Regions from separate parts of the Mus musculus genome. Here all the other regions are reported to be linked to region 3. The links are microRNA targets in miRTarBase. Many come from high-throughput screens and were not tested one by one. Region 3 holds a microRNA gene; each other region holds the end of a gene's coding sequence.
The links. Region 3 holds the annotated microRNA mmu-miR-324-3p (CCACUGCCCCAGGUGCUGCU, at 3,589-3,608, opposite strand). A microRNA usually pairs through its seed, bases 2 to 8, with sites in the 3' UTR of a target mRNA and lowers its output. Matches are read on the target gene's strand: a 7mer-m8 pairs with bases 2 to 8, a 7mer-A1 pairs with bases 2 to 7 and ends in A, and an 8mer does both.

Region 1: the mRNA of Clock is a reported target of mmu-miR-324-3p. The part of its 3' UTR that is shown has no 7-base or 8-base seed match.
Region 2: miRTarBase lists Rnf44 as a target of mmu-miR-324-3p. Seed matches in the 3' UTR shown: 7mer-A1 at 4,635-4,641.
Region 4: miRTarBase lists Pacs2 as a target of mmu-miR-324-3p. Seed matches in the 3' UTR shown: 7mer-m8 at 2,932-2,938 and 7mer-m8 at 3,099-3,105.

What each region holds. Positions count from the first base shown.
Region 1 is chr5:76,210,989-76,218,105 of GRCm38, forward strand. Clock (circadian locomotor output cycles kaput) reads right to left here. Exons shown (of 23, transcript NM_001289826.1): 23 at 1-5,890. The coding sequence ends at 5,711. Among named protein-coding and RNA genes, the nearest start is that of Tmem165, 31 kb to the left of the region's middle.
Region 2 is chr13:54,675,434-54,682,550 of GRCm38, forward strand. It overlaps Rnf44 (ring finger protein 44), which reads right to left. Exons shown (of 11, transcript NM_001146026.1): 8 at 6,894-6,981; 9 at 6,680-6,801; 10 at 6,501-6,600; 11 at 3,966-6,378. The coding sequence ends at 6,316. Among named protein-coding and RNA genes, the nearest start is that of Rnf44, 8.8 kb to the right of the region's middle.
Region 3 is chr11:70,008,586-70,015,702 of GRCm38, reverse strand. It overlaps Mir324 (microRNA 324), which reads right to left and starts at 3,660; the gene lies at 3,572-3,660. It overlaps Dvl2 (dishevelled segment polarity protein 2), which reads right to left. Exons shown (of 15, transcript NM_007888.4): 14 at 6,708-6,926; 15 at 5,594-6,559. The coding sequence ends at 6,111. Acadvl (acyl-Coenzyme A dehydrogenase, very long chain) reads left to right here and starts at 275. Exons shown (of 20, transcript NM_017366.3): 1 at 275-440; 2 at 508-586; 3 at 845-910; 4 at 1,000-1,072; 5 at 1,160-1,224; 6 at 1,324-1,458; 7 at 2,125-2,269; 8 at 2,402-2,531; 9 at 2,620-2,745; 10 at 3,057-3,255; 11 at 3,413-3,517; 12 at 3,933-4,019; 13 at 4,105-4,167; 14 at 4,257-4,358; 6 more. The coding sequence starts at 379. The coding sequence ends at 5,407.
Region 4 is chr12:113,070,619-113,077,735 of GRCm38, forward strand. Pacs2 (phosphofurin acidic cluster sorting protein 2) reads left to right here. Exons shown (of 24, transcript NM_001081170.1): 23 at 50-163; 24 at 920-3,783. The coding sequence ends at 1,038. Tex22 (testis expressed gene 22) reads left to right here and starts at 3,884. Exons shown (of 3, transcript NM_001361919.1): 1 at 3,884-4,241; 2 at 4,626-4,818. The coding sequence starts at 4,663.

The DNA of each region.
Region 1 (7,117 bases), not on the chromosome of region 3:
CAAACCATTGTCAGCAATAAATGTGAACCAGTACAGGCCAACTCAAAACATTTGAAAAGTCATTTCTTAAAGCGATGTCACAGTTTGTTTTCACTGATTTAAAAGCAAACATCTAAAAATGGTATATTTTGAATTTATGCCCCTCAGAGTTAGATGCCTCTTAAGTAATAAACCCAGTTTGTGTCTGACAGTATTTTAATAACTGCTCTCCAGGGGATCCCTATGTGTGTTAGACCCTGACTGTGGGACTCCAGAGCCGCAACCGTGCTAAAGGAGGACCATAGCCCACTTTGGTCACGTGAGCAGGAAGGATCCTCACACAACTAGACTCCCTATGTTCAAGCACCACTTTACTGGACTATGGAGGATCTAAAAGACAGCCAACTTTTCAAAGTTTTCAGTGTGCATACACTGTTCAACTATATAGAAGGACTTCTATATATGGATGTAGTGACGACAGTCATTAATAGATATTACTTTGCTAGCATTTCCCCAAATGGGCAACAGAGGCAACATGTGCCCTTGGTTCTGTCTTACTGGCCTTTTTGACTGTGTTGGGGAAACGAATGTATAAAAAGTGCCCATGAATCAGAGAAGGCAACAAGTGACACTATGTGACCAGAGCTAAAAGGAGTTAGCTTTTAATGTTCTTTTCTTAAATGAATTCAGAGCAGGAGGGAAGTGCAGGGACATTCAGGTTCACCCTCCATCACCATCGTGATGCACAATGGATCCCAATGATCTGTCAGTGGGGAGTCACTAGAGGGTAGGGTAGTGACTGCCCCAAACAAGAGCAAGTTCTCCAACGACAAGAAAATGATGCAATAAATTAAATAAATCACCAACTACACAATGTAGAAATCTAAATACACAGCCATTTTATTTAGGAGACCCAGAGAACTGCTTTGGGAACAAGTGTTCCTTGCAGCCTCTCCTAAGTCCTGTAAATACTTACTATTATGATTGTCTCTTGGTTCAGCACCTCAGTGTTTGCTGGTGGTGTTGATGGAATCTCAATAGTCTCCACAAACTATATATAGCTATAACTTACTTCACTAGGACATTTTCCTGGGAAAACCCAGGCGTCTTAAAAAATATTGTTGAATACTCAAATCTTTCACAAATTATTATTTCAGAAAAAAAACCAAGGAATGTAGTGTGGTATGACAACGGAAAAAATATGCAAAACAGTCACATGGAAAAAAAGATTTTTAATTTTTAAATATATAAGTTTGCTTAATTTCTGATGAGCTGTTCAACACTGTTTTAAATATCCTGAATTAGTAACTATGCCAACAAATTTACCTCCAGTGTTTCCACAGGAGACATTAAAATAAGACCAAATTATAGTTTTCTTCAACCAAAGCAGTCTTTTCTCAGTCCTTTTTGTGCAAAAATATTACAAGAGCAACTCAAATGGGAACGCTGAAATGACATGCCAACATTTCAGGGCACATTTAAAACACTCAATAATTCTTGAAGTTACTGTATCCTAAAATATTACTACCAACCGTTTATAGATTAGTTCTGTATATCTACTCAGACAGATGCATATTCCTAGACCTCTGAAAATAAACAGGCTCATTGGTCTCTTTTGGTGTCCACACAATAGGCAAGATAGGTTTACAATAGTGTTTAAATCAAACTACACATCTACAATCTCCTGACTCCACCACATTCAAAACAAAAGTCAGAGTTTATTTGGCTACCTTGAAATCATTCCCATAAACCTGCTACGGTTCACTGGACCTGAACATTTCTCAGAAATGTGTCGTTTATCATTTCACCTAAGTGATGATTAGGGATCCTTTAAAAACGGTTAATGCCTAAGATACAAACTTTATCTAAATGAATAATTGCAATAAAGTGCTTATTACCTTTCAAAATGATGCTCTTAAACTGTGGTATGTTGTTCTAAGTGTGTGCTATTCCTCCCATAAGGATCCCCAGGCATGAGAGTCTGATCTCACCTGTCTCAGAAAGCAGCAGCACTATCTTTTGGTAGGTAGGCTGACAGTAGGCACATTACCCATGCGGATGAGGCTGGACTAGGGCTACGGCAGAAGGGGAGGGAATTAGAAAAGTGGGAGGCATGTGGAGGGTTCCTACTACACTCATAGTTATATACAAATATATTAAATATGCTATAAAAATAGTCAACTCTTTTCCTTTGCATTTACTTGAGAAGCTCCTCTTAGAAGAGTGTTCACTCAATCCAGACAAACTTAGAAGGTCTCTTTATGCAATCACTATGAAAATGGCAAGTGCCGTTGTGCTGTTTCTTCACCACTGAGAAGTTCCAGTCAGCTCACACCTGGCTATGCACCCTCAGCAATATTAATATCCAGTGTTTACACTTTCCATTGTGGACTCTGGTACTAAGAACAGGACCACAAGTACTGGAAAGATGATAGGCTTGAACAACTTTTACACAAATGTCTACCAACAAACCTTTAATCACCAAAGAAACAAAAAAAGAAATACTAAAAATCCTATCTGTGTTCCACTTTAAAAAACTGCCTCAACATAGTGGAAACATTTTAAACACAGTAATATCCAAGTGAAAAGAATCTACCTGTGTAGACTAAGGGTCCTTTCTAAGGCTTGAACAAGGCTCATCTCCCTCAACGTGATGCCCATATATGGTTGGACTGCTTCAGTGCTCCCAACTTCCAAGAGACTGCTTTAAGGCAATGACCAACTACTATACAGCACACAGAATTCAAACACTTGCTAGTTAGCCTAGAGTTTGCTATCACAACTATTCAAAAGCACGGGCATTCTTTTATTAGTGCTACATCCCTAAGCCATGTCTATGTGACAGCAGAACACAGCACTCTAAATGCTACCCTGAGGATAGAGCTTGGGGAATGGTCTTGGTGCTCATGTGCAAGCAAGCCCACCTACCACAGTTGCTTTCCTCTCACAGTCTCGTCTCTAAGGAAGGAAAGAGGACTTGATATTTTCAATATTGAGGCTCTGGTTTAACGCCAGCCTCAAGGGCAGCTTTGTGTTTACTGTTCTAATCCTGTGTGTTCAGCAACCCCAAGTCACCCCATACAGAAGCAGTCCAGAGCAAGGTACCTGCAGGGCAATGAGAACCTGTTTGACCTTCATCCTAACAATTTCTTAATTAAAAGGCGCTGCCCAGAATCAAAAATTTCAAAGAAAATCAAATCCATGAAATACAGCAAGAGAAGTTAAGGTTTCTAAGAAGCTGAGAAGTGTTTCTTTTTGGTATCTTTTCATGATTTAGATTTGGGGTTTCAGTCAGCTTTGGCTACAGAAATGAACAGGCAAAAGATGAACTTTCTTCAGAATACTGGAGTCGTGTGGGGAGCAGACAAAGACAGTTTGCCATCCAAAGGAACCAAGAATTAAGGAGCTAAGAGGCAGCTAGTGCTGACAACTGTTGCCCAGCATGCATCTCCGTGTGGACAGCAGCCTTAGCAGCTAGAGTTTCTTATCAACTGCTACTTTTAAGCAGGGAGATGAACTGTGAAGAACAGCAGGCATTACATAACTAGCATGTTGTATCTCCTGTAGCTAAATTCTTATCGCTATGTGATGCAAAAAGATAAACGAGGCACAGCTCCGACTCCGAGGACATGGAATGGCCAAAGAGAAGAAGGCAATGTGGAAGGGAGAAAAGCAATGTGGGTGCTCGACTTACATTGATTTCGTCACGTGTGCACAAACTTGCATAAATGTGTATTCTCACAACTATTTCTGGTATTCGTATGAATGTCAGCTAGAAGAACTCTGTGATATGTGAGTTACTGACTGGTATCTAGACACACTTCTTATGCAGAAGAGTAGGTACCAATTTTCTTTGGTTGTTTTCTTTTTATCACTAACTTGCTAACTTAATTGCAGTCAGGTAAACAGGAAAACAAAGACACACTTACTGATGATGAGAGCAAAGCTAGAGACAGATAGCTGACTCCGAGTTCCCCAAGCCCTGATCTAGCAACTCTGCCTTAGGTTATCTGCACTGCTGAAACCAGTTTAGCACCTCACCATCACATACTTTCCTTTTAAGGTCAATTCTAATGTGCCACACTTATCCTCCCTTTTCTCAGTAATACTTGATATTCTATATCCTACTGATCTTTTGTTCTTTAATTGAAAAACTCATTATTAGTACCATAAAATCTAAAAAAATGCCTTTTAAAATGTATGTAGCTTTGTTGGAGTTTATTACCTGTAGAGAATGATATTGCCAAATGAAATCTTAATGTTTAAAAAGCATGTGAGTTACATTATTCTAGTGCTGCAATGAAAATTAAAGACAACTTGTCCCTTGTCTCTGAGCAAGTATTTACTGGTAATTCCTAAAAGAGTTACTTAGCTTTAGAGGAAGATGCAAACAGGAAACGATTTTGGGATCCCATTCCCAGCTGTGACGCTGTCAGGCAGCCCAAGAGACGCAGCAGTCCTCATGGGGACTTGAGAATGACACTGCTGCTAAAAATGTACTAAGGTTTCAAAACTGCTACTGAAACCAGACAATGAATTCAAGATGGTGAGTTATCACCTGAATTAAAATCAAGGCACTATGGGTTTTTTCCCCTCAAATAACCCTGAATCATTTCTGACTAAAAGAAGCATTGAAATTTTTAAAGATAATAAAAAGATTCCAACAAATCCTAAAAGTTAAAATTCCCACCTCTGAGAATGTTAAAAAAGTGCCTAAAATGTTTTGTGTGCAAACTTTACTCTTACAACTGAAACATTCTTGAAATTACTTTCAGGCTTGTTGAAAACCATTTACATAAATATTCCAACTATGAAATATATCAAAATATGTGATTAAACTCTCAACCAACCATCTAAAATAATAAAGCAGTGCAATTCTCTCAAACATAATTGAAAAATAATGAAATAAGGGATATTTCTGAGTAAGTGGAAATGTAGCAATAATTTAACCTTAAAAAAAATCCATTCCCAGCAGCACATTGTTACCTCACTGAACAAACTGTGACATCACAGCCAAAGCACGGACAAAAAGACTTGTGCCCTGGAAAAGTAACGAGAACACTACTGTGTTGTAAACAAAATGAAAAAAGAGAGGTTGTTATCAGTTTGTACATGGTGTCAAACCTAATGAAATGCACTCATACCTGTGAGGGACAGATAATGCTTTCTGTATCAAAGTGGCTTTCTCTCCTCCATCCAGACACAGAGACACTACAGCATCTGTACACAGTGAATTCAAACCTGCACAACATTCTCAAAGTCATCACGGTTCCATCATTGTCTGAACAGGGAGAGGAGTTTGGGGTGGGGACTATTAACTACTGGACTATCTTCATGGCATTCTAAGCAAACCCCTGGCAGTGGTGTGCCCTCTGTAATATTTGATGCAGGCACAGACCCACTAAAGCTACCAACACTGTTAGTGCTCTTCGGATTCAGTAAAGATCTGGTTGATAGCTGAGCTTGTTAGCATTTGGCAATATACTCTTTCTATCAAAAAATACCTGGGCAAAGAAACTGTCAGAATTGGCTGTGTCCCTATGACCATTTCCCACTGGCTGGTATTTAATGGACATCTGAAGCACTGGGCAGCACTTCCCTACCGTCTCATCAAGGGACTGAACACTCAAGACCACCCTCGTGAAACTGTTCAACTTCTGACCGCATGCCAACTGAGCGATTCTTTCTGGCCATCCCCTTCCTCTCGCATGTCAGAGAGGAAGTGTGTGTGCTACTGTGGCTGGACCTTGGAAGGGTCAGTCAGGCTGTCAGTCCTGTGCCGAGGAAGCTGCTGTTGCTGCTGAGGCTGGTGTTGCTGGTGGTGCGAAGGAGGGAAAGTGCTCTGTTGTAGTGGAAAGGCAGCAGAGAGGATGAGCTGTGTCGAAGGATTCCCGTGGAGCAACCTAGATGTCTAAAAACAAAAAGGATGATGCAGTCTGGCTTCCTGCCTTCACACTCGTCAGTTCACACTGCCCACAGCCCACAGACACAGGGCTTTAAACTCTCATTCTGTTTGCTAATCTAAAAACTATTTTTGGAAAACAAAAACCTTGCCTTCTTTCTGAACACGTAAGATTTGACTTTTTTGAGGAATTCTTGATGGGAATTTCATGGTACAAAGTATAATCTGTCTTGAGACAAGCCACATATTTTTATTTCCTACAGGCCCAAATTCTAAGCAGTAAACTAGAGCACAGCTGTGTCTGGATAGGACACGAACACTGCCTGGTCAGACTGACAGTGCACACAAGTCTGCCTGTTGGTAAAGAATCAATTGTACTCCCAGTGTGAGAGATAGAGACAGGATTTCCGAGGCTCACCAGCCAACCAACCTAACCTAGTGAATAAACCACGGTCTCATGAGACCCTTGTAGAGGGCATTTGCTACTTTGTGGGTTCTTCTTTCTTCCACCCTTCTCCACTTTTTCCACCCTTTCAATGCCCTAACACTAGAGAGAAAAGGATAGAAAAGAAAGGAATATCCCTGGATAAAGTCAGGGAATAGAAGGCAATGTTATTAGACCACTTTGTGCTAATTAGGGGTGCTGGGTTCCTTAGGGCAAGTTTGATCTTCACCATCAGGATAGCTAATTTCTTCTTTCTTCTTTTTTTTTTTTTTTTTCCTTTTTTTTTTTTCCCCATTTTTTATTAGGTATTTCGCTCATTTACATTTGCAATGCTATACCAAAAGTCCCCCATAGCCACCCACCCCCTCTCCCCTACCCACCCACTCCCCTTTTATGGCCCTGGCGTTCCCCTGTACTGGGGCATATAAAGTTTGCGTGTCCAATGGGCCTCTCTTTCCAGTGATGGCCGACTAGGCCATCTTTTGATGCATATGCAGCTAGAGTCAAGAGCTCCGGGGTACTGGTTAGTTCATAATGTTGTTCCACCTATAGGGTTGCAGATCCCTTTAGCTTCTTTGGTACTTTCTCTAGCTCCTTCATTGGGGGCCATGTGATCCATCCAATAGCCGACCGTGAGCATCCACTTCTATGTTTGCTAGGCCCAGGCATACTCTGACAAGAGACAGCTATATCAGGGTCCTTTCATCATAATCTTGCTAGTGTATGCAATGGTGTCAGCATTTGGAAGCTGATTATGGGATGGATCCCCGGATATGCTAGTGTCTACATGG
Region 2 (7,117 bases), not on the chromosome of region 3:
CCCACATGCGTGTATTTGTGTGATTCCTCCCTGTCACATGCAGATACACTCACTCTGCCACCATGTAAGACTTCCTGCTGCCCTCACTGCCTACCCCTTAGTATAATTTATTTATTTACTTTCTATCTTAACCACTGAGCCATCCCCCTAGCCCCCTTATTATTTTTAAAGATGTTCTATTCTTTTCTAACAAATTTATTTTATTATGTATGTATGTATGTATGTATGTATGTATGTATGAGTGCTTTGCCTGCATGTATGTCTGCTCACCATATGCATGCCTGTTATCTCAGGAAATGGTAAGCCTCAACGTAGGTGCTGAAGATCGAACCCATATCCTTTGCAAGAACAAATGCTCTTAATCACTGAACCAAGCCCCTTGTTTCCTATTCCTAACCCCATGTTTGCAGTGTCTCCAATGCTCTCACCCTGGTAGTGTTAGATAGAATCAAGTAGTAACCCTTGCGACTGGCTGCAGTAGCCTGTGGAAACCAGTCTCCTTTTTCCCACCCAGATTCTTGTTTTGCCGGCAGACAAGCGGGATGCTTTAGTAATGTGGGGTTACTGACCTAAACAGGAGAAACAGGAAAAACTGGTCCAAACGAGCTAGTAACAGCTCTGATCTGAACTCTGGGTAGCATGGGGAAGTGAGCTGGACTGTCAAGATGTTACAGGTCTTTCAGGTTTCCAGAGTAGCAGGTCTGTGAGCCGTGGGCCTGAGGGCTGCAAAGGCATTCCTGTCTACAGCTGAAGTGTATATAGTCTTGGGGGCTGAGACCAAATGAGTTTCCCCGCTGCGGCCACCACTGGCCTGCGACAGGAGCCTTACATTTCCATTGGCTTTGTAAATGTGCTTCGTTTGGATTCCCGAAGGGCTGCTGGTCTTGAACATATTTTCACAAGCAGCAAAAAGGCCTTTGGTAAACTGGACATTGAACTTTTGTTTTTATGACTCTGAGAGAGGAACCCTTTGTCCGCTGTGTGGTTTGCAGGCTCTCAGTTTGATATCAATTTACTAGCTTATACTGTGAATGGAGTTTGATGTAATAGGCAAAACTACTTTGCTTAGCCCTAGAGAAGGGCTAAGATAATGTCTACCCATCTTCCTGAAGTTTTATGTTAATCTTTAAGTCTGTGATCCACTCTGTGTTAACTGCAGCATAAAGTGTGGAATGCGATTGTGAGTAAAGTTAATTATAATTGTGTAGACTGATTTCTGGGCTTTTAAAAACATTTTTTCAGCGCTGGGCGTGGTGGCACACACCTTTGATCCCAGCACTCGGGAGGCAGAGGCCAGCCTGGTCTACAGAGTGAGTTCCAGGACAGCCAGGGCTATACAGAGAAACCCTGTCTCGAAAAACCAAAAGAAAAAAGAAAAAACAAAAACCATCTTTTCAAGCTGAGCGAGGAGGAGGCTCACACTTTTAATCCCAGCATTCTAGAGGCAGAGACAAAGTGGATCTCTGAATTCAAGGCCAGCCTGGTCTACAGACTGAGTTCCAGGACAGCCACACTACACAGTGAGACTAAAGACAAACATTTGTGTTTCTGACTGTGCATACGTCTGTGCACCATGTACCTGTGGAGGCCTAATGAAGAGAGCAGTATAGCCTTTATATCCCCGACCCAACCCCTCCCCTGCTCCAGACTGGAGTTCCATTGAATGATGTGGTTGCTGGGAATCAAACCTGGGCCTTCTGTAAGAGCAGCCTGTACTCTTAAAGACTGAGCTCTCTCTCTAGTCCCAATGTATGCATTCTTTTTATTCTGTAATATTTTCGCCATGTTGTCTTTTTACATCCGTGCGTGTGTGTTCACACGTGGTATGCGTGCGTGCGTGTGTGTGTGTGTGTGTGTGTGTGTGTGTGTGTGTGTGTGCGTGGTGCACCATGATACAATGTGGAGCTCAGATGACAACTCGCAGAAAGTTCTCTCCTTCCACTGAGTCACAGGTCATCAAGTGTCACTTGCTGAGACATGGTTCTGATATTTTCCAACCTATTTCAGAAAAGGCTAAAAACTTTCCTGAAATTTGGGTAAGTTGACTCCAACACACCTTCCATTCATCCAGATGTGAGTTTTTGTGTACAGCTACACTTGCCTGTACCCTAGGTTTTACAACTTCCAGCATATCTTAGATTTTTCTTTACGATGACAAATTTACGTGTGTGCACCTGTGAGTGTATACCATGTGTGGTGCCCGTCCGTAGGGGCCAGAGGCACGGGATCCTCTGAAGCTCCACTTACTGGCAGTTATGGAGTCACCTGATTTGGAGCTTGGGAATCCAATTCTAATCCTCTGGAAGAGGGTGACACTTTCACCGGCTGAGCCATCTTTACAGGCCCAAATTTTTACTGACTGGCTAGAAATAGCATTGTTTGTTTATACTCTGTATATAGCTCTATTTGCATATATGCCTGCATGACAGAAGAGGGCATCGGATTCTATTACAGATGGTTGTAAGCCCTCCACGTGGTTGCTGGGAAATCAACTCAAGACCTTTGAAAGAGCAGTCTAGTGCTCTTTAACTGCTGAGCCATCTCTCCAACCCCTAGAAATATTGCTTTTAAATTATATTCTCACGTGTCTAGGTTAATGTTAGCAAGTCAGTCAGCTGAGTGCTCAGCGTGCTGGAAGCACTGCACAGAGCATGCTGCAGTGCCTGTAACTCAAGCACTTGGGAGGGGAAGGTGGAAAGATCAACCTCTGCTATTAAGTTGCAGGCTGGTTTAGGACACATGCTATGCTGTTTCATATATTTATTGCTAGCTTTTCTTTTGTGTTTGTTTTTTCGAGACAGGGTTTTTCTGTGTAGCCCTGGCTGTCCTGGAACTCACTCTGTAGACCAGTTTGGCCTTGAACTCAGAAATCCGAGTGCCTCTGCCTCCCAAGTGCTGGGATTACAGGCATTCGACACCACTGCCTGGCCTACTTGCTAGCTTCTAAAAACCCATTTCCTCATTTTGGATTTTTATTGCTCTAGAGTCTGGGAACTCAGCTGCTGCAACACATAATCTACCATGTCCCGGTACACTGCAAGGGTGTGCAGCTGCAGCCAAAGCAAATACATGACACACAGCCTTCATGATCAACTCTAGAGATTTACAGCATAGGTCCGAGCAAGGCCCAGTTAGACTATCAGAGCCCTTATCCCATGATACTGCCTAGTGGACTTCCTCACTTCTAAAACACCTCAGCTGATTCTGCCTACACATACACACATACACACACACACACTCTCTCTCTCAATGATTCAGACTCCATGAAAAGCACTTGACCAGAGCTCTGGTTAGTGGCATCACACAAGGTACTGCTCTGCAGAATCGTGCTGTTTGGCATGCTCACTCCTGAAGCCCTGTACCCAATGCCACCATGGAGATAAATGAAGCCCCACTGGGGCAGGGAACAGAGGCATGGAGTGCACAGGTCTACCTCAGGTTGTGGCCTGGCCAATCATGCTGCTGAACCCAGAGTTGTCCAATGTCTAATGGAGTTCTCGAGGTTTCCCCTTTTGGAGAAACGCAGTTGGACTGCACCTTGACCCATTATGTTGGGGATGAGGCCCAGTGCTTGGCATGAGCTAGGGTAGCACACCCCACCATTGAGCTGCACACAGCCCACTCCCTCAGAAGTTCAGTGTTATGGCCTGTGTGAGGGGACGTGCCTCTAACTCCAGCACTTTGGAGACAGAAGACGGTTCATCCTCAACTACAGATTTGAATCTGAGGCCTGGGCTACATGAGATCACCTCAAAATGCCAAGAACAACCTAGAAGTTCGGATGACCAGGTGTCCTCCTCACATTTGTTCGATGGAATCTTGTAACTTGCCAACACAACCCATTTCCACTCAAGGCAGGTGTTTCTGGTCAGTTCATGGCTTGCCACCCCACTGAGCATGACCAGTCTCCACGTCCCCATTCCCCACTTCTCATGGAAAGAACACAGAGAGCAGCCAGAGGCAGCTTGGGCAGCACTCGTATACATCATACATTTATTAGTGAATATCCCTCTGAAATCAGCAACAATATTAAAAAAAATAATGATTGCACTACTTGGTCAAGCAGAACTAGCAACTTTCATTTTAAAAAAAGTACAAATCTGTTAAAAATTTCAATCAGTATACACATATATAATACAACATACTAGTTATGTTAAATGCTACAAACCAATGTGAGTCCAATGGGATGGAAAAAACCACACATTTAAGCTTTAAGAACCATTTGTCTCTATATATTAGCATTTTCTCAAATACATACATGGGAAAAATGAGGTAACTGTAAGATGTGCAAGGAACAGGGCCCCCAAATCACATGTGTTTATATATATATATATATGTGTGTGTGTGTTTAGTTAGATATATATATATAAAACTTTTCTAACACAGAACACAGGCGCTGGGCCCAGCAGTGCTGGGGGAAGGTGCCCACTGTCATGCCTAGGCCAGAAGTTGGTAAATAAAGAGTAAACAATGCCAAGCCCCCACCACAGGAAATCATTGGTAACATGGCATCTACAGCAAGGTCGGCAAATCACAAACATCCTAAGTAATTGTTTCATAAATCTTTTTTAAATGATTAAAAACAAACAAACAAAAAAGGTGTATTTCCCCCTAGTAGCTGCTTGCTGGAATCATCACTGCAGCCGACACAGTCCATGAGCCAATTCTGCTGCCCCAGGAACCACAAGGGTTTGAAAACCTTTTTTGGGGTGAGGAAGGGATGGGGGTTGGAGAAGGTGGTTCTCTGTGTAAAACACGTGGATTTTCAACACTGCTATAAATATAGAAACATCACCTGGAGTTATATACAGTAAGACTTTGGGTTCTTGTGGGGTGGGACCAGGCCAATGGGGCCTGGCAGGCTGGGGTGGGGGCAGGGCTGCGGTGAGAACGAGGGTGGTTGGAGCATCCCTGAGGCAGCAGGCGCCAATGGCTGCCTGCTAGGATGTGCCGGCCCCACACGCGGTTCGTTCACTCCAGGCAGCGCAGCAACCCCAGTTGGCGGTAGGAAAGGAAAGGAGTGGGACCTGAAAGGAGGGTAAGGAACACAGCCTCCTCCAGACCTTGGAGGGCAGGAATCAGGCCGGGAGGGGCCCCCTGAGGTGGAGGTTCATGTCCTCCCTGACCCCTGTCCTCACAGGATTGCTAGGAGACTCACCCAGGCAGGTGGGACACAGGCCCTGGCTGGAGAGGAGATGCCCTGAAAAGCAGACGGTCCCGGTAGGCTCTAGGGACATGTGCAGTACAGTGCATGGCAGTTATCAGCTGAGCACAGACCCCCCCAAACTCCGCCCTGTGACTTCCAGCCACCCAGATAAAGTTCCAGCCGCACACACTCATGTGGAGGCCTGGTGTGGCAGAACCGGACCCTACTCTGCCCCCTGGGCATTTGGTCCCGGTTGGTCCCTATGCCCCCACTCCTATTAAACCAAAGAGAAAACAAGATAATAAAAAACTAAACACCTCTTAAATATCCACACCCCCTACACGCAATTTTGGGCCAAATGAATAAACAAAAACTGCTGTTCCTCACATTCATGCAAAAAGACAGAGGGGGAGGATCGAGCATGGGTCTGACACTGTCACTGGTGGAGGGGCAGCCACCAGGAACACAAGAACATGCCCAGATCGCTCGAGGCTACTGCAGAACACAATGTATCCAGCTTGGAGCCCTGGCCCATTTGCTCATGGAGCCTGGCTGGGATACTCTCCAGCCTGGGGGTGGGCTGGAACGCTGTGCCTGGGGTAAGGGTCCTGGGGAGTCAGACCCACACCACACAGCAGTGGAGGCAGAGCTGACTGCCTATGTCTGTCTGGAACCAAACAGGAGAACTCAGGAAATGGTCTCTGGCTACTCCCTGCCCACACACCTGGCAACCCCACTAGGGCAGGGAAGGACACGTCATTTCAGTACAGGAGACCAGTTGACCCAGGGTGGCTATTCCTTTGTCCGTCTGGGGTCTGGGGAAATCACACCAGCCACCACACTTGGGGAATGGACTCCTGCCTCCCAGAGCCAGCAGGAAGAAGGACCCAGGGGCAGATAAGAAGCAGACTGAGTTGGGGAAACTCAGGCAGCTCCGTGGCGGGCAGGCAGGCAGGCAGGCAGACTGGGGAAGGAGTCTTTGGAGCTTGGCAATGCAGGGGCTTATTGCAGGGGCTTCTCCAGACTGACCCTGGCACCAGCTCTGGAGTGGCAGGTGGGAACGCTGACAGGCCTGGCCCCGCCCTCACAGTCCTCCCCGGGCCACGCCCTGCTCCCCCCCACCCAATTCCGGAGCTTTGGGCAGGGATCTCGTGGGTGGCTGTGGAGCCTCACTCGGCCTCCCTGGGCACCTCGGAGGCATCCGCCCGGCAAATGGGACAGGTCCGGTTGGCCTGGGAGAACACCCACACATCAGACCCCATTGCGTGACCTCCCCTCCCCCACCTATCTGACTTGGAGAAAATCTCCACTCCTGCCCCTAGAGACACCCAGGAGCCGGCTCAGGCCACCTTACCTTCAACCACTTGTCAACACACTTGGCATGGAACTCGTGGTTGCAGGGGAGGACTCGGAGCAGTTGCCGCACCTCGAAGTCACTGAAGCAGACCACACACCTGAGGAGGGGCACAGTGTCAGCACAGTGACAGCTGAGGCAGCGGAGGGCCCTCCCTGGGCTTCCAGGGTGACACTCACAGAGTCTGCTCAGACTGATGGCTGTCAGGGTTAAAGCGATACGACGGCAGTTGTTCGATGTCTGCTTTGGTGAGGCCCCGGGGCTTGGCGTCTCCCAGCCGCTCAGCCAGGTTCAGGAGAGCCTACAACCAGGCAAGGGAGGTCAGCAGCGCCTGAGGTTATAGGTTTACCACCTCACCCCTTCCTGGCCCAGCCCAGCCCGGGCTCCACAGACCTCATAGTTCTCCATCTCTACGTCATCCACGTCCAGGTCCAAGCTGATGGTGGGGCCCACGGTGGTCGGTGACATTGGCAGCATTGAACTAGACAGGGAGGGAGGCCCAGAATGCAGGTCAGTGGAGGCAGAACAAAGTGACCCTCACTCCTCCATGTACACAGTTCATACTCAGGATCTGGGGCTACCAGAACTGTGGAGGCCCCCAGAGAACAAGGCCTAAT
Region 3 (7,117 bases):
TTTTCCTTTCTCTCTTTTAACTTTAGCTAGGAAGTCCTCCCTCCAGTCTACCTCCAACCTTCTAGTCATTTAATTCTTCCTTCTCTTATCTAATCTCTTCCCTTTTTAGTGGATCAGACTTTAGTTTAGACCAGCGGCTCTATAGAGTTTGGGAAAGAAAACGGATCGTTTGAAGATGGATCACCCTAGGTCAGGTAGAATACAGGGACCGGGCACACGTCGGAACTTCAGCTCCCACCATGCATCGAGGCCCAAGACCACGCCCCCACCACGCAGTGCATTGTGGAGCATGAGTCAGGGCCCAGACACACAACCTTTGGGCAGGCGAGACGCGAAGAGAAGAGGTCAGTGGTCAAGACTTCGGCGGCGGCTTTGGAGATGCAGTCGGCTCGGATGACCCCGAGTGTGGGGCGACAGCTGCTGCGGCTGGGGGCCCGAAGGTCCGTATATAGCAAGGGGACACTGGGTCTGGGAACCAGGGCAGAACTGAACCCCGACTCCTTACAGCTCGCGATCTACTACTGTGCTTCAGGGACAACCCCGGCCTATCTCTGCCCAGCGACTTTATGCCAGGGAGGCCACTCAGGTAAGTGACAGTGGATGAGGGAGACGGACGTAGAAATGCGAGTTGCCAGTTCCCACTAGCCTGCGACCGACAGGGGTCTCTCTCTTCGACCCAGTCACCTGGTGGCAGTTCTGTCACTGAAAGTAGGGGAAAGGGCACGCCAGGGTGCCCTAGTGAGAAAGTAATGGAACATGCACCAAACGCACTTCCTAGAGCTAGCGCTTCCTGCACACCTTTTAAGACCCATCTCCAGCCTAACTGCTCTGCCCTTCCCTCCAGGCAGTTCTGGACAAGCCAGAAACCCTCTCCTCTGATGCTTCCACCAGAGAAAAACCAGCCAGGGCAGTAAGTGACTGGAAACTGGACTGACACTTAAAAACCAGGAGTAGAATCACCCCAGGCACCCACCTAAGATCCTTTCCTTCCTTGCCTAGGAATCGAAGTCCTTTGCTGTGGGGATGTTCAAAGGCCAGCTTACCATTGATCAGGTGTTCCCATACCCATCTGGTAAGTAAAGGCTTAGTCAGTCACTGACAGTGTGGGCAGGGGAGCCCTCTCTGCCTGACTAGCCTGCTCTTCTCTCCCATTATACAGTGCTCAGTGAAGAACAGGCACAATTTCTCAAAGAGCTGGTGGGACCAGTGGCCCGGTTCTTTGAGGTAAGGGATGACCAGAGCTCAGCCCCTCCTGGGCTAAGTAAGATGCTAAGGAGCTTAAAGGAGCCTCTGAATATGAGATTCTTCCTATTCCTTGCTCAGGAAGTGAATGACCCTGCCAAGAACGACGCCTTGGAGAAGGTGGAGGACGACACTTTGCAGGGACTCAAGGAACTGGGGGCATTTGGCCTGCAAGTACCCAGCGAGCTGGGTGGTTTGGGCCTCTCTAATACCCAGGTGAGAGGATCCCCCTGGTTAACATTCCACAGTGCTCCAGTTTTGGTAGACTCACCACTAGGGCCAAGCAAGTAGCCAGAGTAGTGTCTACCTGCCTGCCCTTTTTCTCACACATTTTCCCCTGAAACATGATCTGTGTGCAGCCCACTAGGACCGTGGACCTAACTGTGGTTCCCAGGTCTTTGGGGACTGTGTGAGGCAACACAGCAGGCAACCTTCCCATCAAGACCAAGGGCAGCTGGGCACAGTGGCACTCATCTTTAATCCCAGCATGGAGGATGGAGGCAGAGGCGGGCGGATCTCGAGTTCAAGGCCAGCATGGTCTACAGAGGGAGTTTCAGGACAGTCAGGGAAACCCACAAAGTTTCAGGCTAGCTGGAGCTACAAAATGAAACTGCCTCAAAAGGGGGGGGGGGGATTATCTAAGCCCTTTGATGTTCCTGCTCCTGTCTCCTTAGGAAAGACTCCAGGGTTTCATGCTAGAGAAGCAGCCTACCTGGGAGCCCCATGGCCAGCCTCCCTGTGCCCTGTCCAAACCCACTCCACTCCCCATGCTCAGAGTAGAGATGCTCCAAGCCCCAGGCCAGGTCTGCCCTGCTGCCCATTCTTGTTGAGGACAAGTTCAGTGCAGCCAGCTACAATCCCAGATGCCTCCTTTCCCTCCAGTATGCTCGCTTGGCAGAGATTGTGGGCATGCATGACCTTGGTGTTAGCGTTACCCTGGGAGCTCATCAGAGCATCGGTTTCAAAGGCATCTTGCTCTATGGCACAAAGGCCCAGAGAGAAAAATACCTTCCCAGAGTGGCATCTGGTAAGGCAACCTTAAGAGACCCAGGGGTAAGGAGTGTGACACTGCTCACGGTGTTACAAGGAACTGCCTGGGGATGAGGGGGTGCAACTCTGGTGGTCAGGATCCCCAGTGAGCCCGTTCTCTCCCCCACAGGGCAGGCTTTGGCTGCTTTCTGCCTAACAGAGCCCTCGAGTGGATCCGATGTAGCCTCCATCCGAAGCTCAGCCATACCCAGCCCCTGTGGAAAATATTACACTCTCAATGGGAGCAAGATCTGGATCAGGCAATCTTCCGTTTCTCTTCTACCCTTCAGCCCAGTGGCCTGACCCTGCTGCTCTAAACCCTATACTAACCACCTCACTCTTCCACAGTAATGGGGGCCTGGCTGACATTTTCACTGTCTTTGCCAAGACGCCAATTAAAGATGCAGCCACGGGGGCCGTGAAAGAGAAGATCACAGCTTTTGTAGTGGAAAGGAGCTTCGGAGGGGTTACCCAGTGAGTATGGGGCAAAACAGAATCAAGGATGGGGACAGCACTGGGCTCTCAAGAGCAAATAGTCAATACAGGCCACGCTGGGGCTATCTCTGTACAAGAGGCACCCACAGGAGGTGAGCAGTTTTGTTTCCACTGGGGGAACACAGGCTAACAGGCCATAGCTAGATATCCGTAGCCCCTGGGGCACATAGGCAGTGCCCTGTATCCTTTTTATAGTCTGGGGAGTTCTCCCCTGATCATGAGACCCGAAAAGGCCGTTTTCCCCCACAGCAACCTGTTCATACCTCAACTTTCCTGCCCTGCCTTTTCAGTGGGCTCCCTGAAAAGAAGATGGGCATCAAAGCATCTAACACGTCAGAGGTGTACTTTGATGGAGTGAAGGTGCCATCAGAGAATGTGCTAGGAGAGGTGGGAGATGGCTTCAAGGTTGCTGTCAACATCCTCAACAACGGAAGATTCGGGATGGCTGCAACCCTCGCAGGCACCATGAAATCCCTCATTGCCAAGGCGGTGAGTCCCAGCCCAGTCCCTAGCTAGCACATGTCCCTGACTGCCTCAGAGCGCCGACACACACACATGCACACTCGACCATCGGCACAGTTAGGCCTCCAGCCCGTCCAGGTGGAAACTGAAGAACCACAGTGGGGTAACATGCGCCCTCTTGCAGGTTGATCATGCTACTAATCGTACCCAGTTTGGGGACAAAATTCACAACTTTGGGGTGATCCAGGAAAAGCTGGCTCGGATGGCTATTCTGCAGTATGTGACTGAGGTAAGGGCCTCCTGGGCCCCTTCCCTGGAGCCCTATGGCTTTCTTCACAGTTGGGTCAGACTACAACCCCCAGCAGCACCTGGGGCAGTGGGTCTCCAGCTTTACACCAATGCCCTAGGGGATGCGAGGAGGCATAGTCAGTTCTCTTCTGGAGGGTGGTGCTGCTCTGCTAAATGCTGCCCAGATGCACCAAACACGACTTTTAACCCACCCCTTTACAAAGTCGGAAGCCTCGAAGCCCCTGATATACCAGAGGGTCACATATTGGACATATTTGACCTGACCAGGAGGCTAAAGTGAATTCAAGGGTTGGAGGAGTAGATCAGCACTGGTCTTGAAGGTCTGAGCATTAGCCATTCTGTCTGATGCAGCCCTTCCCTGTTGTCTTCCCCATGTCCCGACCATGCTCCCTTAGTCCATGGCTTACATGCTGAGTGCCAACATGGACCAGGGATTCAAAGACTTCCAGATAGAAGCCGCCATCAGCAAAATCTTTTGCTCGGTGAGGACCCAGGTGTGATGGGAGGGCGGAGTCCAGATTAGGACCTCAGCTCAAAAATCCAACTCATCTGGTTCTCTGTCCTCAGGAGGCGGCCTGGAAAGTGGCAGATGAGTGCATCCAAATAATGGGGGGCATGGGCTTCATGAAGGTACAGAGTATTCCTCGGCAGGGGGGGGCATCTGTTCAGAGTGGACAGGCACATCTCAACAGAGGTTTCTGTGTCTTCCTGCGTGCCAGGAACCAGGGGTGGAGCGTGTGCTCCGAGATATTCGAATCTTCCGGATCTTTGAAGGGGCAAATGACATTCTTCGACTGTTTGTGGCTCTGCAAGGCTGTATGGTAAGAGGAAGGAGGATGAGAGAGAGCAGCTGGGGAGGACACTGAGTCCTCACTGTCGCCGTCCCCCTTCTCTCCACAGGACAAAGGAAAGGAACTCACTGGGCTGGGCAATGCCCTGAAGAATCCTTTTGGAAACGTTGGCCTCCTGATGGGAGAAGCAGGCAAACAGCTGAGACGGTACCTCATGGGCCGGGGCCAGGGTCAGAGTCAGGGTCAAACAAGATGGGAGGCCGCAACTGACCAGTCACTCTTCCATCTCCTCTCAGGAGGACAGGAATCGGCAGTGGTTTGAGTCTGTCAGGGATTGTCCACCCAGAGTTAAGTCGCAGTGGTGAACTGGTGAGTGAGCCTTAAAGCAGAGCCTGCGGTGGCTGTGCGCTGCCTTCCTCTCCTGAGCTCTGTCTGTGACTCTTGTCTCTTCAGGCAGTGCAGGCTCTGGATCAATTTGCCACCGTGGTGGAGGCCAAGCTGGTGAAACACAAGAAAGGGATTGTCAGTGAGTGAGCTCTGCAACCCCCTTCCCTCCCTGATTCCCTCCCTCCGACTAACAGCCCCACCCTCATCTACCTGACAGACGAGCAGTTCCTGCTGCAGCGACTGGCGGACGGCGCCATTGACCTCTATGCCATGGTGGTGGTTCTGTCCAGGTAAGGCGGCAGCGAGGGACGCTTGGCAGGCTAGAGCCACAGAGGAGCTGGGCCAACACCAGCACTCAGGATCATTTTAACCTCTGTTTCCTCACAGAGCCTCAAGGTCCCTGAGTGAGGGCTACCCGACGGCACAGCATGAGAAAATGCTCTGTGATAGCTGGTGCATTGAGGTGAGCCTTGGAGCTCCCCAGTACAGGTGGGCCTTGGAGCTCCCCAGTACAGGACGGCCTGACCGTCCCTCCCCTTCCCTCTCCCCAGGCTGCAACTCGGATCCGAGAAAACATGGCCAGTCTGCAGTCCAGCCCTCAGCATCAGGAGCTCTTCCGGAACTTCAGAAGCATCTCCAAGGCCATGGTGGAGAATGGTGGCCTGGTCACCGGTAACCCCCTGGGAATCTGAGACTCCCAATCAGGCCCTGGCAAGGTCATGTGCCTTCTCTGATGCCAAAACCCTTTATGGGGGTGATGGAGTACTTATTGCCTTAACAATAAATTTTCTACCAAGTCACTGTCTGCCGTGAATGTCACTGCTCCCTCCTCTCCACTGCCTGCCTCGCAAAGAAAGGAGCCAGAGGCTTGGGGAGTTGGCCTCTATTTGCTTTATTTGGTGTTTTGTACAAGTGACTAAAATAAATAGAGTAACAAAGGCAGCTACACAGTCCCCAACACACCACCAGCCTCCTTGGACTGCTGTCTGGGGTACCCAGCCCACACCTTCTTCTTCCCAGGGTACCACTGACCACCACCCACCCTCAACATGAGAGCTGACTAGGCACCTGGAGGTGGCGGTCATATTCTGGGGTTAGAAGGGATTCTCCATATAAAAGAGGAACTGTCTATTTAAAAAAATACTCCCCCAAATATAAGAAAGTCTATTTTAACCCCCCAAAAAGCTTATAAAAAATAAAGCTAAAAATAACCAAAGGTCCCCATCTACCCCCGAGGAAGAGGGGGAAGGACCAGGCACTGCTGGTGAGAGTCACAGTGGCAAAAACGTTTTGGTAGGCACCAGCCGCCAGGCTGAGCCCAGGCACTATGAAGGGCACCAGGCTGAAACTTGCCAGGCCAAGGGCACAGACCCAATGTGGCCTCAAGATGGGTCCCTACATAACATCCACAAAAAACTCACTGGGGTTGCCCATGGCCATGTGGAAGCTCTGACGGCTAGCTGTCAGTTCTGGGGGCACGGAGCCCAGGTCTCTGACTGGAGGGGCACCAGGGGGCTGCACTGCTGTGGAGACAGGGGGTGGGGGTGGAGGCATCATAACTACCATCATGGGGTTATAGGGGAGAGCCATGCCAGATGGGGCTCCATAGGGATGGAGCCCGGGAAGAGCTCGGAGATTAGGAGGAGCGCCTGTCGAGCCCCTGGATGGAGGAGGGCCGCCATCACCAGTCCCACCAGGCTCCCCACCCCGCCGAAGGCTGCCTCCCCGGCTGGAGAGTTCTGACTCACTGCCACTGCCGGACTTGGACTCAGGGGCCCGTTCCTCAGGCCTGCCTGTGCGCCCAGCCCCCCCATCGCTTCTTGTCGACCCGCTGCTCCGGCTCCCTGTTGGAGGGCAGAGGTGACGAGGAAAATGAAGCTCAGCCCAGAGTCCTCAGGATCCCAGTCCCTGCTCTTGCCTCTCCTCCCCGAATCCGCTCTACTTGTGCCCACTTTCTCTGGCTGTACTGGTACGTGGGAGTGGGTCACTTACCCTCACTGTGCTGGCTGCTGGCACTGCCTCCACCATAGGTGTACGAAGAAAGCTCGTGGTAGGGTGGAGGCTGGGGGCTGTAGGGGTGTGGCGCTGGATACTGGTAGGAGAAGGTGGGCAGCAGGGGCCAGGGAGTAGCTCCAGGCAGAGGTGCCAGGGTATCCTGGTCTGAAGCCCCACTGGAACCGTCATTGTCATTCAGAGAGAGGTTAACTAGGTCTGGAAAAAAATGGAAGAGAGGTCCCTGCTTTAGGAGGCCAGGATTCCTGAGAACAGAGAAACCTGAGCCATTTCCCCAGAGCTCCCCACGAGACAAAAGCCAGAGACCATGATGGCTTACAACAGGAAACTCTGCTGCTCTGGCAGAGAAACAGCCAGGACTCTCACCAATAGCCCCAAAATGCTTTTGT
Region 4 (7,117 bases), not on the chromosome of region 3:
TTGGGCCTGAAGGAACAGTAGGCCAACAGTAGAGCTTTTCTCTTCCCAGTGATGTTTTTGCCCAAGAAAACAAAGGACAAGGAAGTGGAATCCAAAAGCCAGTGCATCGAGGGCATCAGCCGGCTGATCTGCACAGCTAAGCACCAACAGAACATGCTTCGGGGTGAGCATGGGCCAGGGGGCTGCTCCACAGGGTGCTGGGGACTCAGTCCATGACCTAGGTCCTGTTTGCTTCTGTTTGTAAACTGAATGCAGAGCGGAACTGATGGCTGGCCTTTCAAACCCTCAGGGCAAGCAGTTGTTTTGCTCTGATGGCTTATTTACAGAGCCACTCTTGGAGCACATTTGGATAAGGTGCCTCCATGCAGCTAACGGCCTTTCAAGTTCAAGGAATGGTTCAACCCTTTCTGTTTTTATTGGTAGAGATTTGGGAAGGATTGCTAGAGATTGAACCAAGGGTCTCCTGTGTGCTAGGCAAATGCTCTACCATATTGCTCTATCCCAGCCCTCCTTCCACTTAAAGATTGATTCATGTATCTTAAGTATCTTACAGAGGCTATTCTGTAAGCAGTGCATTCAGAGCACAGGGCTTTTGGGTCCCTGTGAGTCCCAGTTCCTTGGGTGGTCTTCCTAAGGCTACCTCTGGAAATACAGCTATTTTAAGTAAGTTGGACCTTGTGAGGTGGATGTGACTTAAATGGGCCATGCCTGGCTGAGGTGTGGCTCAGATTGCCCTTGCCAGACCCCTTGGGAGGTGGACCCACCATTGCACTAAGTCCTGGAAGGGCAGGTGGTGGGAAGGGCTTGTTAAGCAGGGCTTCCTCCAGCTTCAGGATTACCCTGCTTCCTGGCAGCACCCCACCATCTCAGGTGGTTGCCTTGCCAGGCAGGCAGATGGTCAGGTGGCCCTCTCCCACAGTCCTCATCGACGGCGTGGAATGCAGCGATGTCAAGTTCTTCCAGCTGGCTGCCCAGTGGTCTTCTCACGTGAAGCACTTCCCCATCTGCATCTTTGGACACTCCAAAGCCACCTTCTAGCCCCACCCACGGAAGGGCTGACACTGGACAGTGACTCTGTGCCAGCCATTGATGGAGGGACAGCTGTATTTCTGTTAACACGTGGTTACTACAGAGACAGACTCTTAAAAACACAAAGAAACAGTCTTAAGTATGAATGTGCTCATAGCCCAGCTAGCTCCCTGTGGGCCACTGAGTAACTTTGCTCGGCTTACTAACCAGAATATGTGGGCAAGTGGAAAGGCTGGTAAGAAAGGAGGTGAACTCTGGTCCCATGAAAGCCCAGACCACAAGCAAGAAATGTTCTTGCCTTTGTATCCTGCCCTTTGCTGACGTCAGGATTCTGCTTCCTCAGGGAGTAGGGAGCACGGGGAGCTTTGGAGTTTAGTGGCCAGAAGCTAAAGGTCAAGGGCATGTTTGCTCTCCTAGCATGAGATGTCAGTCCCTGGCACCCCATGCGTGGTTCCCAATAAACTCCAGCCTCATGGCGGAGGTTTTATAGTAGCAGATCTTTCTAATGCTCTCAAATACATTTGACAACGTAGCTGCCAAGCAGATGTTGCTCTTGTGAAGTCCCCTTGCTGGGGCAGAGCCAGCAGGAGCTGCATCCCTACCCTACCCCTGTGGCTCCCATTCCACGGGCACCTTTAGGCTTCTGCTGCTCAGATCGGGTGGTCCTTTCATATGTTCCAGTGTCCGTCCTGGAAATGGGAGACACTTCTGGGGTCTGTCTGAGCCCTTCCCTCTATTCTGCTTGCTGGACAGGATCATCCAGGATTGGCCATGTGGGATCTGAGCTGAGAATTGAGGTTGTAAACTGGAAACAGGCATCTAGAGGTTGTGTGTGTGTGCCATGTGGGATCTGAGCTGAGAATTGAGGTTGTAAACTGGAAACAGGCATCTAGAGGTTGTGTGTGTGTGTGTGTGTGTGTGTGTGTGTGTGTGTGTGTGTGTGTGTGTGTGTGTGTGTGAGAGAGAGAGAGAGAGAGATTTGTTTGTAGCCCGTGAAGGCTCCAGCATGCTGGTCTGACTACAAAGGCCACCTCCCTTACAGGACTAGGTCTAGCCAAGCCAAGCTCCTCATAGCCACCTGGATCTGGTTCTTGGTGGCAGCTCCACCATTTTCCCATCCAACTTGAAAGGGTTGTGCTGGTGTCCGACAGCTCAGGTCATCCTGGCTGTACACGCTCCACCAGACTCATGAAGGGGTCACTGCCTCAGTCCTAATTTTCTTAAGAATCCTTTCTCCCCGAGGTATCTAATTAGAAGAGTTCCTGTCACCCTGGAAGCTAGGGCTCTCTCGGGGGCTCTGGTGGTCCATTGGGAAGCATGGTGTCTGAAGAATGGTGTCTCGACCTTGAGACCTTCCTAAGAGTATGTTGAGAAAATTGTCGAGAGCAGGACAGGCTGAGTTTGAGGACTGCTCGCCCTTCCTGGGGTGAAAGATGGCAGGTTTTTATTTACTTACCTCCCTTATTGACTTGCTGAACAGGGTCTATTTGTCCTGGATAATAGGTCCCCAGGTCCCTGGGTCCAGGGCTTCTTAGTGGAACTCCTGGTGAGGTATTCTCTGAAAAGATCTTGTGCTGAGTCAGGCCACTGTAATCCTTGGAGCCTAAGAGCCTAGTTTACCTGCCCCTTGTGTTTTTTCCCAAAAGTCAACCTTCATATGAAACATTTGACCTAGATTTCTAGCCTTGAGGCCACAGGGGTTCAAGCTCTTGCCTGAGGGCAGCCCTTTTCCAGAACCTTCCCCTGTACATACGTGCTCCTTCCTTGACTGGTTCCAGGGGTCTGACTTTACACACACAAGAGGAAGGTGTAGGCAGCGTCTTTGTCCCACAGCTGGCCCAGGGTGGAGTCAGGAAAGCCTAGCACCTGAGCACCATACACCTTCCCCCCAACCCCCACCATGGCAGTGCTAGGTGCAGACCTAGACAGCAGTCCTTCCTCCCTGTGCCTCACTCCCCCAGTGGTTAGAGAGATGGTCCATTTTCCTTGCCTACCTCATGGAGCTGTAATGAGAAGTCATGGAGAAGCACTTTGTCCCTTTGAAGGATGACACCAAAGCCCCCCTGACAGGCAGTGCAGTGGTACGAACCGCAGAGTGTGTTTGCATCCGAAGCTCTGAGGCATCACCCTCAGAGCCTGCCAGTCTTAGAGGTCCCTGTCAAGCAACACCAGTTGCCATTGCTCATTGCTGTCAGTTGGGGGCCCTGCCTCTACCTTCAAGTTGGTTCCTGCCACCACCCTCTGAGTACGCAGCTCAGTATCACTGTAAAGGTACCAGTGCTGGGAGGTGGGGGTGGGGAGGCGTGGGGAGGCGGGAGGCTCAGCCCTGAAGCAATGGCTTGCCCTAGCCTTATCCTGCAAGCCTCACTTCTTCCTCTAGCCTCCATCTCAAATGAATTCCGCATAAAAACGTCCTGGCACTTCTCCCCAGGGCCAGGGTACTTGCTCCCTAAATCCCTGTGCCCTTCAGAGACTGCTCTGTCCTGGAAGGGGGCCAGCAGAAGCTGACAGCCTTGCGTGAGGATGACTCCGTTCGCTTCTGCAGACTGCCCAGCGCGCTGTGACTGATTTCTAGAGTGTGTATGTTGCTAGTTTTGTTTTTGTTTTTTTAATAAAAAGCAGGATTCATGTAAATAGCTTTTTTTGGGAGCAGATACTGATCTGTCCCATGCGACCATGTGGACGATTTCAAGGTGCTGAAGCGACACTAATAAACTGACGGCGCTCAGGCCGCCCACTGCTGTGATTTCTCTGAATGTGTTGGGGCCATGCGGCTTGAACGCTGGGGCGCACGCGTGGAGGGGGCGGAAGCGGCCGCGGAGGGCGGGGTCTGTAGGACGGAAGCTCCGTCCCTCTTCCCTAGAGCTCTGTCCTTGGATCCAGCTTTCTCAGGCTGGTGCTGAAGGTCCTAAGTCAGCCTCACCAGCCAGCTCTGTTTACCTGGACCCACATGAGCGTTCACAGGCCACACGACCCTCCACTCCCTGTGCAGACCCTTCTGAGCCTGGGCTCACCGGCTGATCCATTGTCAACCGGAGCTCATTAAGCCCCCCTCATCTGTCCCGGAGCCTACAGAGCCCTTCCCAGAGCCCTCTGGGCGAGCTCTGCATCCGCGTGGGAGCGGGTGACCCAACTCCCACATACCTTCACTGCTGCCCTTAACTGACTTCCACAGTTCATACCCACGGAGAGGGTGGGAAATGAGAGCTCAGGTTGGCGCTGAGCCTGGGCCTTGTGTGGTAGGGTTGTCCAAGACAGGAGGAGGCCTATTGAGGGTGGGATCCTAGGACTGAAGAGCTTGTCAGGACCGCAGAAGGAGCGCCCCCTGCGAGGAAAAGCAGACCAGGTGGTTCGGTGAGAGCAGAGAAGGCTAGGCTAGCATCTATTTCTAGGCTACTGCTGTCCCTGGGGGGATGCTGGTGCGGAGGATAATGGCCACAAGACCTGGGAGAGAAAGTCACAAGGGACCCCGCTACTCGGCAAGAGTAGTCACTAGGTAGAAGGCGGCCCCAGCAGGGCCTGCCATCATCTGCTTTAGGGATCTGCCGTGGCAGCAGGAACCCTGCTCAGTTCCCTTCCTGCACCTTGCCCCACAGCCCTAGTCGAGGGAACTGCAACCTGCTGTACTTAGAGATGGACAGCAGGCAACAGCGCCCCCAGAGGAAGACGCTACAGTGGCAGCTTGCTCAAGAGCAAAGACAACAGTCACCCCCACAGGGGCTTGCCGTGGCCTCCAGCCAGCCAGACACCAAGAGCAAGCCTCAGGACGACTTGCAGACCCAAGACTGGGTAAGCAGTTAGGAGAGTCTTCCGAGAACCCAGGCTTTTAGGTGGACTGGTTGGAAAGGGACACCGAGAATGGGCCTCTGGGACAAGAGGAAAGGACTGAATGGGACTGGAGGAAACATTTAGTTTTTAGGGCTTGCTTCTCCAACTACTCAGGCTAGGCTCGGAGGTAGACTTCCTCTGGTGGACACCAGGCAGAGAGAGGTCGCCTAAGGTCAGAAGGAGTGTGCCACACATACCCACATCAGCTCGTGCAGTGTCCCTGACCCCTGCTTTGAGGTCCCTCCAAAGGTGACAACTGTCCTGCAGGGCTGACCAGTAGCCCCTTCCGCTTTCATAAGGCAGGGCATTCTAGATGGTAAAGATGCTAACGTGTCATCTCTTGGGAGAGGCTTGCTTATGAATAGGCACAGATGTATGGATTTTATATTGGTGACATAATGGTGAAGAATCAGAGCTCTATGGTTGAAGGGACACCAGACTCCTGGTTGGGGACAAAGTCACTTCAGTGTCTGCCACACCTTGACTTCATTTGGAATTGACTCCCATTTCAAGTTCCTGTGCCTCCTCCCTCCACAGTTTCCAAGCCCTGCTAGTGACTCTGTCCTTGAGGGATGTCCAGGCTGCCTTCCCTAACCTTGTCCTGAGTCACTTCTCTCCTTTCGTGTCCCCTCAGTATGGATTGTGCTTCCTCAGCCAGGTCTGTCTCCTGTTTCCTCCCACAGAGATCCTGGCCTAGCTAACATCAGTTCCTTGTTCCTCCCTTCCCAGCCTGAGCCTTAGAGAAACTTTCTTTGCAACGTAACTTGTCTTCAGCCCGCAGTAACACTCATGCTACCTCATAGAATGCAGTAACCTTGGCCTGAGGCGAGAGTTGGAGAAAACTGTCCTAGCAGAAGGTCTTTAGATGGCCAGTTTAGCCACTGTACAGTACTTTCTGATAGTCTGGCCAGCATGCTCTGAACACTGGAGAGAAGCAGGCAGGAGGCTTGGGATGGCTCTAGGCTGAACCCCACTAGGGACCTTCCTCACCCTCCCCGGCCTGCCAAGGAGCACAGACATGCAAAACCAGCCTCATGTGGAGAGCCTGTGATTGTCCTCGTCAGTCCGAAAGAATCTTCTGGAATTTTACACAGTACAGTGTCCAGAAGTTGGTAGGCTCAGGAGCCACAACAGCAGATAGGAGCATCGAGGGAAGACAGTCCTCACCCTTTATGACAGCAGTGAGACTTAGGAAATATGCAAAATCTGCTCAAGATGAACTTTTTTTTTTGGGGGGGGTTTTCGAGACAGGGTTTCTCTGTGTAGCCCTGGCTGTCCTGGAACTCACTTTGTAGACCAGGCTGGCCTCAAACTCAGAAATCCGCCTGCTTCTGCCTCCCGAGTACTGGGATTAAAGGTGTGCGCCACCACGACCGGCTCAAGATGAACTTTTTACCACCAGCTCCTGAAGAGAACCGAAAAGGCTTGAATGATAAGAGAGAGATGCTGGGTTCCTGGAGAGCGATGTGAGATTAGGTGGGTGCTTTCCGAGGCATTTCACAGCTCAGCATGTACGTAAAACCATTACATGTTGCAAGGCATGGCAGTGTACAGCTTCCTAGCATGTGGGAAGCAGAGGCAGGAAGATTCTGTGAGTTCAAGGCCAGCCTGGTGTACATAGAGATTTCCAGGCCAGCCAGAGTTACCCTGTTTCAAAACAATAACAACAAAACAAAGCAAAAATAAAGACAATTAAAAAAATAAGCCGGGCCAGGCATGGTGGTGCACGCCTTTAATCCCAGCACTCAGGAGGCAGAGACAGGTGGATTTCTGAGTTCGAGGCCAGCCTGGTCTACAAAGTGAGTTCCAGGACAGCCAGAGCTACACAGAGAAACCCTGTCTCAAAAAAAAAAAAAAAAAAAAAAAAAAAAAAAAAAAAAGCAAGCCGGATGTCTCTCTTGTCTTAAAGCTAAGCCCATATGGAAAAATAAGAGTAGCTGGGCTAGCTTCAGCCTGGGAGATGGGAATTCATAGTGTAAGCCTTTGCCATTGTCAAGAAAAGAAGCTTAAATAGCCAGATAGGGGGGAAAAAAAAACAGTTGATATTGGAACAATATAATGTCTGCCTAGAAAATCCACAAAACAGCTAAAACTATAAAAGAGAAAGATTGGTTATATGACTGTTGTAACTTAGGTGTCTCAATACACTAAACCAGGAAATATGAAAAGATTCCATTCACTTTAGCAACAGAAATTATGAGGTCCTTCTAATTATGTGTTGCCTTTTACGAGGAACACGGAAAGTTCTGCTAGTTACAAA